2 linked regions of the Arabidopsis thaliana genome follow. The protein of the gene in region 1 interacts with the protein of each later gene in a pairwise test. Each region holds a gene or a part of one and is shown on either strand. Other genes may lie near its edges.

What was found. Proteins that work in one complex are often made in the same cells at the same time.
Region 2: the proteins of ARR4 (region 1) and AT3G12620 interact in a two-hybrid assay, tested with the Arabidopsis thaliana proteins (one large-scale study listed by BioGRID).

The regions. Positions count from the first base shown.
Region 1 is NC_003070.9:3,440,548-3,448,262, forward strand, and holds ARR4 (response regulator 4), read right to left. Parts: upstream 3,814-7,715; 5' UTR 3,213-3,813; coding exon 3,035-3,212; intron 2,947-3,034; coding exon 2,870-2,946; intron 2,783-2,869; coding exon 2,705-2,782; coding exon of another isoform or gene 2,623-2,704; coding exon 2,552-2,622; intron 2,453-2,551; coding exon 2,077-2,452; 3' UTR 1,441-2,076; downstream 1-1,440.
Region 2 is NC_003074.8:4,006,580-4,014,482, forward strand, and holds AT3G12620 (Protein phosphatase 2C family protein), read right to left. Parts: upstream 5,097-7,903; 5' UTR 4,610-5,096; exon of another isoform or gene 4,522-4,609; 5' UTR 4,415-4,521; coding exon 4,090-4,414; intron 4,001-4,089; coding exon 3,633-4,000; intron 3,483-3,632; coding exon 3,246-3,482; intron 3,159-3,245; coding exon 2,931-3,158; 3' UTR 2,691-2,930; downstream 1-2,690. Other genes in the region: DRT100 (Leucine-rich repeat (LRR) family protein), read right to left, coding at 82-1,200; SAP5 (A20/AN1-like zinc finger family protein), read left to right, coding at 6,128-6,610; AT3G12640 (RNA binding (RRM/RBD/RNP motifs) family protein), read left to right, coding at 7,876-7,903.

The DNA of each region.
Region 1 (7,715 bases):
AGCAAAACAAAACTATCCTTCATGCAATGACTTTTATTGTGCTATGCTTATCTCTACTATATATTCAAAACCATGAGTTATCATATCGACAACAAGAAAAAGAAAAAAGAAAAACTAATTTTACTTGATGTTTCCTCTAAATACGAAGAAGATAATGGACATAAGATTCAAATTTTTCAAATTACTATCTAAAAAGAAAGAAGAATAAATTAAACAGCAAACTAGCCGTAGACAAAAGTAATCTACATGTTAAGAGTAAAGCAAAAAACGTGGAAACACACATGCAACAGCGATCGGACACTACAGTACCCCAAAGATGACAAAAGAAAAAGATGTGGTAGAGAGATTTATTCCCCCACATGAAGGGACAAAACGCAAACCAAGGACAATTTTTGTTAATTTATTGCAAAATTTTAAATACGCCAAACGTGAGGAGTATCGTTTGGGGATGATTTTGTTGTCGACAATAATTAATGATTTTGTTGGTTATATACATTGCATCTACAAATTTTAAAATTGATTTCGTCTTTCCAATGTGGTTGGCTCTGTCATTAGATTATTATACTAATCCAACTCTTTATATTGTATCTTTTATTATTTTTTTTATAAATAATACGAGTAAAATTCGTGTGTGAATATAGAATTTCGTTCAATGGTTGATTTAGGTTGAATTAGGTTGATTTAGAGAAAAAGAACACCTGACGTCTAAATTTGGATTACAAGCTAAAATAAAGTGAGATATAATATGTTTTATTAGATAATCGAAAGAACATCTGATTTGTTCATCAGAAAATGAATGCGAATAGCAATTGGGTCATGTCCTTAGATTGTTGCAGCGGTCTTCTCGATGATAAATAAGTTTACGACCAACCGCCTATAACAACCTCTAGTACCAATCAAACATAGATCCGAAACACACACGTTAAGCAACATATATACAAAAGTTAAAGCTATCCCAAGCTTAATTATATTGGTCGTGGTTTCTAATGTGAAGATCTTACTTGGATCCAAATGGTAAAAACACATGACCATAAAAAAAGAAACACCAAAATGGGTGCCAGAGACAAGGGATCTATAGAGACTATTTATGGAGAAATATGCCCCAAAGGAAGGGAACAAGAGTTGCCCATTTCCAGCTTTGCATTTATTCTTTCTTCCTCTTCCTTCTTTCTTCTTTTTATTTTCTTGCTTACTCTCTACACATCTACACATGCATAATGATGCATCCACTACTTCGTCGTATATTATAAGCATTTTTTTCTTGGGTTAAATATGTATATTCAAAGTTGCATTAGAGCATCGGCTTGTGCATCTCTTTTGGGAAGGATAGAATTGAACGTCATCGTTTCATCTATTCCCTTAGCTTCATTGCAAGGTTGAAAAATGGACCCAAAATTTGGTTTTAATTAACCGCCTTTTATGCATTTATATTTTTATTCTTTTTTACTATAAATTCATATGTATAAGTTTCAAATTTTATGTTTGTAACCTAAATTGTTTTCATTATCTATGAAATATTTATAATTTAGCCAAAAAAATTAGAGCATCGGCTTATAGTCATTAATAGGAGTATTTTGGGTCATAAAACTGATATATATTTATGGAACTGTTTAATGACTATAGTGGATTCAAATGTTACTAGTTGATTTGTATCTGGAAAAAAAAACCTTAGCTCTCTGATTCTTGAATTGTCAGATCTAGCTAACTTTCTGATTATAAAACCCCATATGTCTATGATATTGACTTATTTAGGACCCAATACATAAGAAAAAAACGCATATTCAAGTCTCGTTATCATAATAAATGGTGAATGTCGAAGGTTCGATTGCAATTTTCCCTTTGTTTAAAGACTAAAAAAGTTAAAAACGTAACTTTGTGCAGAAATTAAAATAATTAAAAGATATTCGAAAAGCTTTAAGGAAAAGGAAAAAAGGCCCACGTGGAGGCGCGAGAGATTAAAGGGACATCTATAAAATTTGACGGCGTCAAGTCAACGTGCAATTAAAAACACCGTCAGAGGTAAAAACGAAGTTAACGGAGATAGATAATATTACACGGCATCCCAGAATAGTTCCACTAATCTAATCCGGGACTCCTCATCTTCTGCCGTCGAATCGGCGATTCCTCCGACGACGACGTCAACACGTCATCATCTTCATCGTCTATCGGAGATGAAAGTGGCGAGGTGGAAAAGATCTCCACCGGAGATAACGGCGGAGACGAATCCGACGATTCAGTCGAAACAGTCAACGGCGGCGACGATTCAGGCGAGATAGTCAACGGAGGTGACGGTGGAGGAAGCGAAGAGTTAACGGAACTAGAATCTTCCGGAAGCTTCCGTTTGTTTCCGTTGGAAAGTTTAACGTCTTTAGTTAAATGACTTCTCAGACGTTTCACGTCGGCGAGTTTCACCGGTTTCAATAAGAAATCTTGAGCACCTTCCTCAAGGCATCTGTTCAAAAATCATTTTTTTTTTTTACAAAATTTTATCAAATCAATCAACAGTTTCTAAAAACTCCAAAATCTGTGAAGAAATCAACAAGAATCACACCTGTCGATTCTGGTCAATACATTCTCCGACGACATGATTACAACCGGAACTTCTCTGAAATTGGACGATTCCTGTTTCAGATGACCGGAAAATTCAACATTGTTACTAAAACAACCGTAATCTGAAACAGGAAAATGGCGGGAAAATGCAGACCTTAATCTTCTTGAGAAGCTCATAACCAGTCATTCCAGGCATACAGTAATCAGTGATGATCAAATCAACTTTCAATCTCTGAAAATATCCATTTAAACTAAATCAAACTCACGAATCGTAATCTTCAAAAAAAACAAAAAGCTGTATCAGATTTCAATAACTTACATCGAATTCAGCAGAAGCTTTCTCATTATCTAACCCTAGAAATTCCAGAGCACGCCATCCACTATCTACCGCCGTAACTGACAAACGATACCACCGGAGATGTAAATATTCCGGCGAGGAATAAAAAAAAGTGAAAGATGTTTTTTTTTTTGAAAAAATACGAACCTTTGCAGGAAGTAATACGAAGCAATCTCTCGATGACAATACGATCAACGAGACTGTCATCAACGGCTAAGACATGAACTTCATCTAAATCCAACGGCGCAGATTCAATTCCTCCGATACCACCGACGCTCATCATCTCCGACCTTCGTAAACAAGAAACACCACCGTCTCTGGCCATAGACGAGCTTATAGTAACTGTGAGGAGAGGATGAGAATAAAATAGAGAGAAGAAGACGAAGAAGAAGAGCTCACATCTGTTTTCTTTTGTTCCTTTCTCTTCCTTAAGACAGTTTTTTATATTTCTGATTTTTTTGTTCTCTAAAATAAATCTTTTATGAGTGTGTCTTTTTGGTTTTTTCAATTTTTATTTTGAAAAATCTCCAGCGAGGAAAATCCAACAAAATCTTTGGTTCCTATTAATGTGAAAATTATATATTTTTATGTGCCGTGCTTTTAGGGTTGAAAAAATTGAACTTTTATCTTTGAAAACAATAGTATTAATAAATAGAGATTTTATGGAAAATCCGGTGGAGGGCCTATGCGAATATCATAGAGAAAATAATATTCCTAAAATCGAATAAATAATAGAGGAGAAGAAATCCGTACAAAGGAATCCAAAAAATAAAAATATACCATCGTGAGATATATACAACTTCTTAGTCAAAATCTCGTCATTACTCATTAGTGTGATTGGAAAAAAAAAACTGAAAATGGAATCACTCACTGTTAAGAATAATAAACCAGAAGATTAAAGAAGCTAATTTTGGTCATACACCATTACAATTCATAGTAGCGTGTTTAAACTTAACCGGCTCGGTTCTTCGGATTGGTCTTATTTGTATTAAGTACTAACCACTAAGACAATTTTATATTGTTCCATGTGATTGGTCAGTTTCTAATTTAAAATTTATGGTTCAAATGCAATTCATAGAATAATATTAAGATCGGGTTTTGTGGGTTGACGAGAAAATTAGTATACGCCTAACTAGTAGTATATCCATCCATATGACTCTAGAAATTTTATGTTATCCAAACACTTTTATTTATATCGTTTTCAAATGGCAAAAAAAAAAAAAAGAAGAAGAGGAAAGTGGACAAATAATAATAAAAAAAAAGGATTTGACGTCCACATTAAAATTTGGATCCGCGGGACCCAGGGAAATCTAAAAGAGGGACCCATAAATATTTTGTTGGGAACAATTTGTATTAATGAAAGGGGGAATTGGACTTTACCTCTCTTCTTCTTTTTTTTCTTTAATCTTCCAAACATAATTTGCTGTTTCACTCTTTTAGACACCACACCGTATCAAATCTTGGAGATCGCTTTTGCTTTCTCTTTCCCACCCATTTATTATATTTTTTTATATAAAATATCATTATTATTTCTTTTTGTTGAAAGGGTAAATGTTTTGATTTTCTATTTTATTTTTAAAAATTTTATGAAAATGTTATGACAATATAGGTGTTTTTAAAAATCTCTTGATAATAAAGAGCTACTATTAAGAAAAAATAGGTATATAAACATGAGAACAATAAATATATATAATGATTCTTTGGCTCTTTATTTTTTCTAGAGAAACAAATTTATTCCAGATTGAATGTAAACTAAAGACGACCAAATCCAATACTATGACATTTTCCTACTTAAAGTTAAAGCTCAAAAGATCAGGTTTCAAGGTTGCTTAGAAGTTATCGATCACAGTCGTGGATGATCAAAGTAGAGTTTTATCAAAAGACTTTTGTTTCTTCTAATTGATAGTGTCTCTAATTTAATCGTTTTTCTACATTAACCAAAAACATCTAACAAAGTAGAAAGAAAAATGACGCGTGAAATAGACAAATCTTACAATGGATATATTGCCCATTTTTATAAAATAATTACGCGAAATTTAAGATTGATTTGAGAATTGATTTTTCAAACGATATGGGCCAACGAATGATGGATCAAATCTTCATGATGTCAACTCAAAATCGAGGGTTGAACAAAAAAATCCATAAAAGTAGTCATCAACGTGTCGCACATAAAATCGTAATCTATCTTTTTTCTAGGAACTTTGGACATCAATTACAAAATTAAAGACATTGACATTTTCCCTTTAATTAATTTTATGTTGGTACTCGATTGAGGTTTGGAGCATCTTTATATTCTAATCATTATTGTAAATATTTTCTACATAGTATAATATATTTGTAGAAATAAAAGTAATTGATTAGTTGACCTAATTATACAATACTCAAAATCATGTACACTTGAATATTTTCATTTTGACGTCTAGATTTTGTTACAGGATCAATGGATCATATAGAAACTCAATTTTAGTCTATACGTACATGGAAATATAGTTGAATCTCAAATCCGAAAATCCAGATTAATGTCAACATAAGCTCATATCTAATCTACAAAGCATTTGTTGGATAACATAGATTGGTCTTTCTCCTTCCTTGGTATCACTCTTATGTTGTCTGAGTTATATCTCCTATCCTATTGATTCTTAGACTTTTTTGTGAGCTAGTAATTATTCTCTTCCAAATTGTGCTCTCTAGCTTTATGTATCAAAAATTTCACCATCAATATGAGGCCATGTTGATCTCGATGAAAACGAAGTTACTCGTTTGTCTTAATTTAAGAAAATTGTGGGCTCTAACACCATATTGCAAAGTTTTTTTTTATTCTTAGTCGTTAATTATTATTTGCGAAGTTTATACTTCTATTTCGATGTGTTATGCTTATTATCACACACACTCATGCAAGAAATGTTTCAAAAACGTCAAGAACAAGGAGCACATAAAATTTCATAAGTTAAGATTTTTGACATAACAATCAACTAACAGATATATCTCAACAATATATGAACATGCATGCGCTAGCTCTAAAAGGGGGTTGGCAATCGGAGTAGTGAAGCTTTCTATATTTTATGCCCGAAACTGAAGATTTTAGTGAAGGCCCAATTGTGTCTGTGTTTGATCCATATTAATATTCACTAGGGTCGGACAGTTAAACCCAACCAAAGCCCTGAACACTTTTCAATCAAAATGGATATCGTAATTGTCACTTTTGAAAATATAGACTAAACAAAAATGAATATAATTTAACCAAACGAAATGTAATTTCATATACCTAAAGAAACCAGGCTTTTTAGTCCACACTATTCTCTGCGATTCAAGCCTATTTTTTTATAGAAAAAATCTCTGCAATTTGTCTAAATATAGAATTATCAAAGTCATAGATATTTTGGCTGACTTTGGAGATCTGCATCGTTCAAGAACAATAGTTTACGTACATAAACTAGGATTCTATCCTACTTTATCTGCGTCGTAATCTTTTGATCTTTTCTCGTCGATATTACATGTGTCTTTTTTTTATAATGGATATTACAAGTTATATATACTCTATAGTTGTTAGCTTATTATGCATGCTCGCTGGAATAGTTTAAGTAACAACAACCTTTGGAATAGTTTTTAAGTAACAACCATTTATTTAAGTTTAGTGGACTTTTTTTTTAATCCCTGGTCTTGGCATTCTTGGTGGGCTTCTTTTCTTTTTACATATAAACTATCAGAGTGCTCTTGGAGTCGTCTAGAAGAGAAGCAAAGGTTTTATTAATAGGGAAGGTGGGGTCCCTCTTTGGATACACTTAATTATCTTCAACATAATTAAAATGGTTAGTAAATTCAACCTGTTTTACATAAAATAAAATAATAAAATCTAGTCCTACTTAAATTTCTCAATTCATCTCTAATACAATCTACATGCATGTGCAAGTTTTTGTTTTTCACTTGCACATGTATACCCGTGTTTGGAACTCTCAATAAATCTTTTTACAAGAAGAAATCTATATATACGTAAATAACTAAATATGTTGTATACAATGTCTCTGTTATGAGAAAAATAGAATTGGTTAATTAGTATTCTTTCTATGTCTCAATGCATGTATTATTATATGTGATACGTACTTCGGTACCTGGCACAGCCCATGATCATATGATATAACTTTCCTTTAAAAGAGACAAATACGACAGCTAACCCTTTTTGGTCAAGACTATAGTTAAAACTTAAACATGGTCAAGTTGCATAAGTTTTACGGACACCGTATACTACTAACTAACGTTTCAGAATGGTTTTTGAATTAGTGTAAAGTTGTTTGATACTTCGATGGCAATATAATATATACAAATATATATGTAACAATTAATATAGAAGGTGAGGTTGATATATATAATTGGTGTATATATATATATATAAGTTCAGTATATCAAATATTATAGAAACCAACCCACCCACCCACCTAGTAGCCACCATAAAGAAACTTTCAGAAAATCATAATTAGCTAAAATTATTCCACATGCTATTGGATAAATAAAAGATTATCGTTGACAGCATACTTATTTGGAATTCTTCTTTCCCTCGATTGATATAATATTACAATTTCTTACTTCAAAATTTTAAATAAAGGACCTGAGCGAGAGGAAAGAGGCTTTGATTGCATGAGACACCTATTGGTGGCAAGAAAGTCTACCAATCAGAGATCTTAGGTTGTACGAGTGAATATAATTATAACACCTAATAAGGATTAATTATTGTTATTTCACTTAATTGTCTTGATCTATCTTTTAAGTTACAGAGCAGTGGGGTCCTTAATTGGAACAACTGTCCAAACCAAATGCCATTTCATTAGACTTA
Region 2 (7,903 bases), on another chromosome or scaffold:
TCACAAGTTTGATACAACGAACAAGAGCAACAGCAAAAAGAATAACCCGGTTCAGTAAAACCAGAAACCATATCCTTGTTATTAACATGACGTCGTCAAAGGGCCACCGCAGAGACATTGGTTGTCACTAAACGACGTAGCTTCAAGGTGATCAAAAGGAAAACCCGTTGGAATACGCCCACAAAGCTTGTTATGGCTAATATCCAAATGTCCCACAAACTTAGCTGACGACAACGAATCCGGGATCCGACCCGATAGACTATTGTGTGACAGATCAAGCGAAACTAAATACGTTTTTGACCCGAAAACGTCGGGTATAGTTCCTTCCAACGCATTTCGGCTCAAATTGGCAACATCTAAACCGGAATTGCTAAGAAGCGAACCGGGGATTGGACCGGTTAACGAATTGCAATCGAGATTCAAAAGTGAGAGTACCTTCATGTTACCCATCCATTCGGGTATCGGACCTTCGATATGGTTTTTGGATAGATCCAGATCCGCTAACCGTTCCATACCCGAGATCGACTCTGGAATTGACCCGGTTAGTTCGTTACGGCCCAGTAAAACTCTGCTCAACATCTTCAACGATCCGAAATCGGCCGGGATCACGCCGGTGATTCCATTTTCCGTCAATTCAAGATGCTTCAACTCGATGAGTGACGTCAGTGACGCCGGAATCTCGCCGGACATTTGATTCTCGGCGAGGTTTAAAACAGCGAGTTTCGAGAGTTTGCCGATTTCCGCGGGAATCTCCCCGGTGATCTTGTTGCCGGCGAGATCGAGGATACGGAGCGAAGCTAGGGAAGTAATGCACGGAGGAATCTCTCCGGTGATTCCTTTCCAGTCGGCGAGAACGAGGGAAGTGAGTGCGGTTAAGTCACAAACTGCTGGATCAATCGAACCGGACATATAACCGGACCGGCCTGCCTTTTGGAAAATGGCGTCTTCAGATTCTCCCCGGAGAGAAATATCAGTGACCCGACCCGAATCAGGATCGCAGCTGATACCGTACCATTCCTTGCAACAATCAGTGTTTTCAGACCAAGTGTTGAAGATACCGAGGTTTGGTTCGCTCAGTGACGACTTGAAAGCATTGAGAGCCGTCTGATCTTTAGGAGAGCAGCATCTGACGACGGAGATGACGGAAATGAAAACGACGGCGAGTAATGAACTAAACGGCGATGCCAACAACTTTCTCATTTTTAAAAGAAATGTTTGATATAGAGTGGTGTTGTGTAATGAGTCTTTGGATTATATAGAAACGTAGAAAAGGAGAGAGAGACATTTGCATGTGCATGGTATCATGGGCATGTGCATGTTACTACTATTGTTCTATATATTATCTTACGAATGTATTCTTATACCCTTTAATCTATTGTACTAAAGATGAGTATCATGTGTGTATGTCAGTTTTACTTTTTAAAAAAATATTTGATTAATCGAGTATCCAACCATGATCCGGCAATATATAAGTTAATCATGTTGATTTGTTTCAACGGTAAGGATATATGTTTTGATTTTCATGGACATTTAACTAATGCAAAGAGATAATTTACATGGACATTGAAGTAATGCATATTCTTAGACGTATTTATACATAGCTCTATGATCAATAATGCACGGATTATGGAGCATGGACTTGCTATTTCCTAAGTTTTTTTTGCCATATTACAGCAATGATTATGATTTCAAGTTTACTGAAACGCCAAAACTTCACATCAATAAAAGCTTAGTATGACTAATTATGATTGATAATTTACCAATTATTAGAGACAGCATTTAATAAACCAAATATGGTTGGTCCTCCATAAATACTTTTACATGTGACTCATGTGGTCCTACTACAGAACTACAGAAGCATTTAACTAAGCATCTCTCTGTCCAAAGTCCAAACTTTGATTTTTTTGTTTTCCTTCCCTAATTTCTTATCCCAAACGTATCGTTGTTAAAAATCCTTACATTTGATTTAATTAGTTTAATTATAATATTTGACATATAACATTTGTTTCTAACTAATTCACATATAATCTTGTTGAAGAAATAATATTATGATCAAAATCATTAGAGCTTATTCCAGCATTTATGATTTTCAGTCGCGTTGTCTTGGTTAGGACATGATTCAACGCCCATCACATGCTCAGGGGTCAAGATCCCATTTCCTGGAGCTGTCTTTATTTATTTATTTTAGTATTAGTAAAAAATTTCCATGTCCTTGCTCATAACCAAAACATAATTTCAATCATAACAACAATATACAGTAATCCATTTGTAAAATGTTAGTTTTGTCGCCATATCTCCAAATGAATTCAAATTCGATGAAATGCATGTGCGAACATATGGATCATTAGATTATTTTGTTTTCATTTCGATTTACTATTGCGTGAATTATTCGTGATCTTTCAAGGTCTTTTAGATAACTATTCTAAATATTTTGGAACTATAGTCGGATGATTTTTTTACTGAGAACTGTAGTCAATTATATTTAAGGTAACTTTAATTTGTGACTGACAAGATCTTTTGAATTCTTAGGCCATGAAAAGCAATGTTGTTTTGTCTTTGACATAAAAGACGAACTTGTAGCAGTATCGGTCTCTACTGCATCAATTACACATTCGCTTATGTTTTTGTATATACACTAAAAATGACAACATAAGCAAAAAGTGGTAGATGGAGGTAGTCAGTAGTAGAAATCTTTCCAACAAGTGATATCTCTTTATATTATCCATAATAAACTCAGTTTGCCAAAAGACCTATACATTGGATTTCAACTCTTCATTTTTTTTTGGGATGAATAAAAAACAGAGTTAAGAGGAAATTTTTATATATAGAGAAAAAAAAAAAGAAGGAACTTGAATTGCGTTTTGCAATGTGTTTTTATATATAGTGGATAATGTATATATAAGATATATATAGATGTGGTGAGAGTAGAGTCAAGTAGAAGGTCCAGCTAAATCACCACCACCTGAGATGGAGAGGAGAGGTCGGCGTGAGGTACTGCGACTGACGAGATGTGAATCAAGAAACACAACTATGACTGTTATATCATCATGAAAATGTCTCCGCACTCCTCTATCGATCTTTTTTAGATCCGAATATCTCATCTCTCTCTTCTTTGCTGCCTCTCTTAGAGCTGTTTTTATGAGCTTCCTTGCAATCCCCTGCATACCCACATGTTCTCAATCAATCTTTCTATCTATTTGCACATAAAACGAGAGAGAGTAAGAAAGAGCAAGTGGCAATCTTACATTGCGCGGGCATGTGTTCACAATGTCAACAGCTTCTTGATTGGACAAGTGCTCCCACAAGCCGTCTGATGCAAATATAAGAAACTGATCTTCTGGATGGATTTTGTGTACTGTAATTGCCGGCTCTGCTCTAAGGATGGGCTTATGGAAAACCTCAGGGACCCTGAACTTTGCCAACAATGGTTCCCGGTTGAATTCTGCTTTCTTTAAGTATGCATCACCAATCGACCGTGAAACCTTCAAGAACCAGCCACGGGTTATATCTAGCGAAAAATCCTCTTCTTATACATGCATAGGGCTTACTTAGTTGTATCTTTCACAGTCAAGCTACTTGCAAGAAAAGAGTCTAGAAGTCAGCAACTCGCATTACCGTGAAAGTATTTTTACCTGTATAATACCTTTGACACGCCAAACTTTGTGCTTCAAGACCACAATCTGAGGATCATTTGGATGCAACGAGCGCAACTCCTCTCTCACAGATTCAAGACTTGCATTATGCTCAGACGATAACTGAACGGCCTTGACAATTTTAAACGCTTTTTCCAGTCTTCCTAGCACAACCCGAGAATCTCCAGCGTTTGCAATATACAACAATCCACTACATATGATCCCTACCAGACAACAAGCTCCAACAGAAGCAATCTGTGGTTTAATCTGCCACTGCCGCCGGACAAGAGAAAGAAAATCTTCTTCCGTAGCTAAAAACGCTTTAGTTATAACATTGGCAGACATTCCATGATTCTCTGATGTAAACTCTGCAATCAGAAAATGTCACCAACTTAGAACATAGATAGTCCCAAACACACACATATCAAATATAACAAAAAAGAAGGAAACAACGTACTCCTGATGTTGTCGAAGAGGTGTTTATTAACGAAACGGGCAGCTTCAGGACCACCATGACCATCATAAACACCAACAAAAGTAGCTTGAGGACCAGAATCAAACATACTAACAGGTCCAGACTCAAGCTTGCTATGATCTTCGAGAAGATTATTAGCTTGAATAACAGACATAGAGAACTCTCCAGCAACATGGTTACCAGAATCTTTATACCAAAGAAGACCATCACATCGACCATTAGCGTCTCTAGTAGAATGATCTCCTTTAACAGAAGGTCGCCTCCAACATGGTGCTACCATCCGCAATATAGTTGCCGATGATACCATAACTCACATAATCCCCTCAATAATCAAAATTTCTTTACTTCATCTAAAAGATCACTAACACCCCCAAAAAAACGGAATCAAATCAAAATTTGCTTATTCCTCCTTCCCTAAACAATACACCAATACGAATGCATCAATACACATTTGTCGCGCATATACAATTACGAATTTTCTTCAAGGATCGAGATCAATTACCTTAAAAAAAAAAAGCCGCGAAATGATTTACCGTTCGGACAAAACAAAAGTGAAAATTGGATCGAGATCGGAAGCAGGAGTTACGATAAGAAGGAATCGTAACTCCGGTTGGGATTACAGAGAGGAAGAGAGATGACGAGAGAGAAAGAAAACAAATCTAGCAGGCGACTCTGTCAGAATTCCTTATTTGGGGGTTCGATTTCTCTTATTTTTCTCTCTTTTTTTTTTTCTTTTTTTTTTGATGCTTTTTTGTTGTCATTTGGTTTTCGAGTTTAGCTGTTTAGGCATTGACCTCAGAAACAACCCGACGTTTTAGGCAGCTTTTTCTCCCATAGTTAGCTACGTTTCTCCATTTTTCAAGATTACTAATTTTATTAAAATATTACTATAATAAATAGATTTTTATTTACATTTTCCATAATCTGAATGAAATCAAATATATGCAAATATCAAAAGTATCACCTGATCACCAATTCCTAGTTTTGTCCAATGATACTGATGATTCATCAGCCGATTGATTGAAGGAACAAATTTGAAGTTTTCCACTGCTAGTTGAATTATGGTTAGTTCATTTGACTTATCAAAATCAAATGACTAAAATATTCGAATTTTCTTACATGCTGTAGAGATTAATTTCAATTTTAATTCATCATCCCATTATCTATATAAGAAAAAAGTAGAAACATTTCGCGAAATACAATCCACCTTCTGGGTTGTTGTCTTGTTGAATATGGTCAGGAAAATAAGACCATTAAAGCTTCAACCTCCAAGCCAAAGAGCAAATAAAATACTACTGATTAACGCAAAAACATGGAAAAAAAATAAAGTCTGCAAATTGGCATGTTGACATGTTGTACGCGTAGCTTTACAACCTCACAGGTCGTTTTTTTTGTGTGACAGTTTTAACCCCCAAAATCTCTTTCTTTTTGTTTTTCCCTAAAGTAAAAAATAAAAATCTAACATGTCCGAAGTCGAACCAAACATAAACATACAGGTGTTCGAAACTAGTTAACACAATAACACCTCTAGATATATATATGATTATGGTATTACTTTTCTTTGGTGATTTTTTTGTTGGGAGAGAAACATAAATAAACAAGTTGGCCCATATTCCAGCGATTTTCCTCACCCTTCTTTGATATCTCAGTTTATAAAAGTCATGATACTAATAAATTAGAGTATACTCAAAGAAAAATCAGAAAATACACCCAAAAAAGCAAAAATGTGAGAAAGAGAAACATGTTGTTGTCCGCTGTATGGCGTCATAAGCCATTCTAGAATCATTGAAATGCATATTTAATCCTCTCTGGTAATTCCAAAAAAGCGATGAGGGTATTAACGTAAATCCACCAGAAGACGAGAAAGTGGGGATGGTGGAAGGAGAGATGATAAGAGAGATGGAAACGCGTCTCTCTATGAGGCCCATATTCCATTCTTACCTCTCTCTACCTCTCTATCTCTCTCTCCTCATAATCGATCCGTAAACTCGCCGGAGGAGCAGGGAGATTCAATAAGACGATGGCTCAGAGAACGGAGAAGGAAGAGACCGAGTTCAAAGTTCTCGAAACCTTGACGACAACAACAACGACGTTATGTACCAATAACTGCGGCGTTACAGCGAATCCTGCGACGAACAACATGTGTCAGAAATGTTTCAACGCATCTCTCGTCTCGGCGGCCGCAGGTGTTGTTGAATCAGGTTCGATCTTGAAGAGATCGGCTAGATCTGTCAATCTTCGTTCGTCACCAGCTAAAGTCGTGATTCGTCCAAGAGAGATCGATGCGGTGAAGAAGAGAGATCAACAGATCGTAAACCGATGTTCTGGTTGTCGGAAGAAAGTTGGGTTGACCGGATTCAGGTGCCGATGCGGTGAGCTTTTCTGCTCAGAGCACCGTTACTCCGATCGTCATGATTGTAGCTACGACTACAAAACCGCTGGTCGTGAGGCGATCGCTAGAGAAAATCCGGTGGTCAAGGCTGCGAAAATGGTCAAAGTTTAAAAAATTAAAAATTCGATCTCAACCGTTGAAAAACTTGTGGTGGTTCAAAAGCTCCGATCGGAAGAGAGATTGGTCGGAGAGACATGGATTTGATTTGGTGATGTGTTGTAAAAGAAGATCAGAGAGATTATTCCTCTCCTCAAATCAAAATCTGAACCTCAATTTTTTTTTTTACGTTTTTTTTTCATCTTTTAATTTATATATTAGTGAATGATTATTAATATTATTATTGTGTGGCTTACGGATTCATGAATTTGCTTCTTGATCATCGAGAAATGGTGTATGTAAGAGACGAAGGGGTTGTTTGGTAATTTAGGAACATGTCTTTCTGGTTTCGTTTCGTTTCGTGTGGTAGATGTACTTATCACGATACTACTAGTCCATTGTGCGTCACAACTCACAAAGCCAATTTCTATCAGACAAGTTTGCTTGGCGTATAAAATAGCAAAGCCAATAACGTGTTTGAGTTTGTATGGGTTATCATCTTCTTGTGTTCCATTATTTTTATAGATTTGTATATTTTAAAGCATAACATATTAAACTATACATTAGACTTTTGTTTTCTTTTAATAATATTAACATGAGCTTACTCATTCTACGAGTTTTTTATGTGAATTATTTTCAACGCATACAAAAATATCTTGCATATATCTTAAAAGTCCAACAAAATACTGTTCTTTCATGCAACTATCATTGTAGCCAGACTATAGTTATATCTACTTAATAAAATGTGTAAAAAAGTAAGTTCATTGGGACAATTTTCAATTGTCATCTAAAAATTGCAACAAAATACTGTACTTTCATGCAACTATGATTATTTATAACTCTAGTCAGAAAAAAAAAACTGACGGAAAAAAAAAAAGTCAGAAAAAAAAACTAAAAGTTGGAGCACCTAATTAGGCCCAACCCAATAGTGAAAATATAAATGTGTTGTTTTAAATTGAAACACAAAACGCACCGTTTATAATTAAAAGAAATTCAGAGAGGCTTTTCATATCTAATTTGTTCCGTCCCTTAGACATTAATCAGGATTTCAATCGTCTGGGTTGCTGCTTTCTGGATTTCTCCGACAGAAACCCAAACCCTAGTACCACCACCTTGAAGCTCCTTAATTCTATCCGTTCTCGAATTGAATCGTGCATAGGTTAGGGTTTTAGTGGCGTGTATATATATATTCCAATTTGTTGATTCCTTGGGCTCTCTCATTGCGGTGGCAACAAGTTAAGGTCTTTGATAATAATCTCGTAAAGGAATTTTCAGTGAAGATGGGAAGCGCCGATCTAGTCGATGATC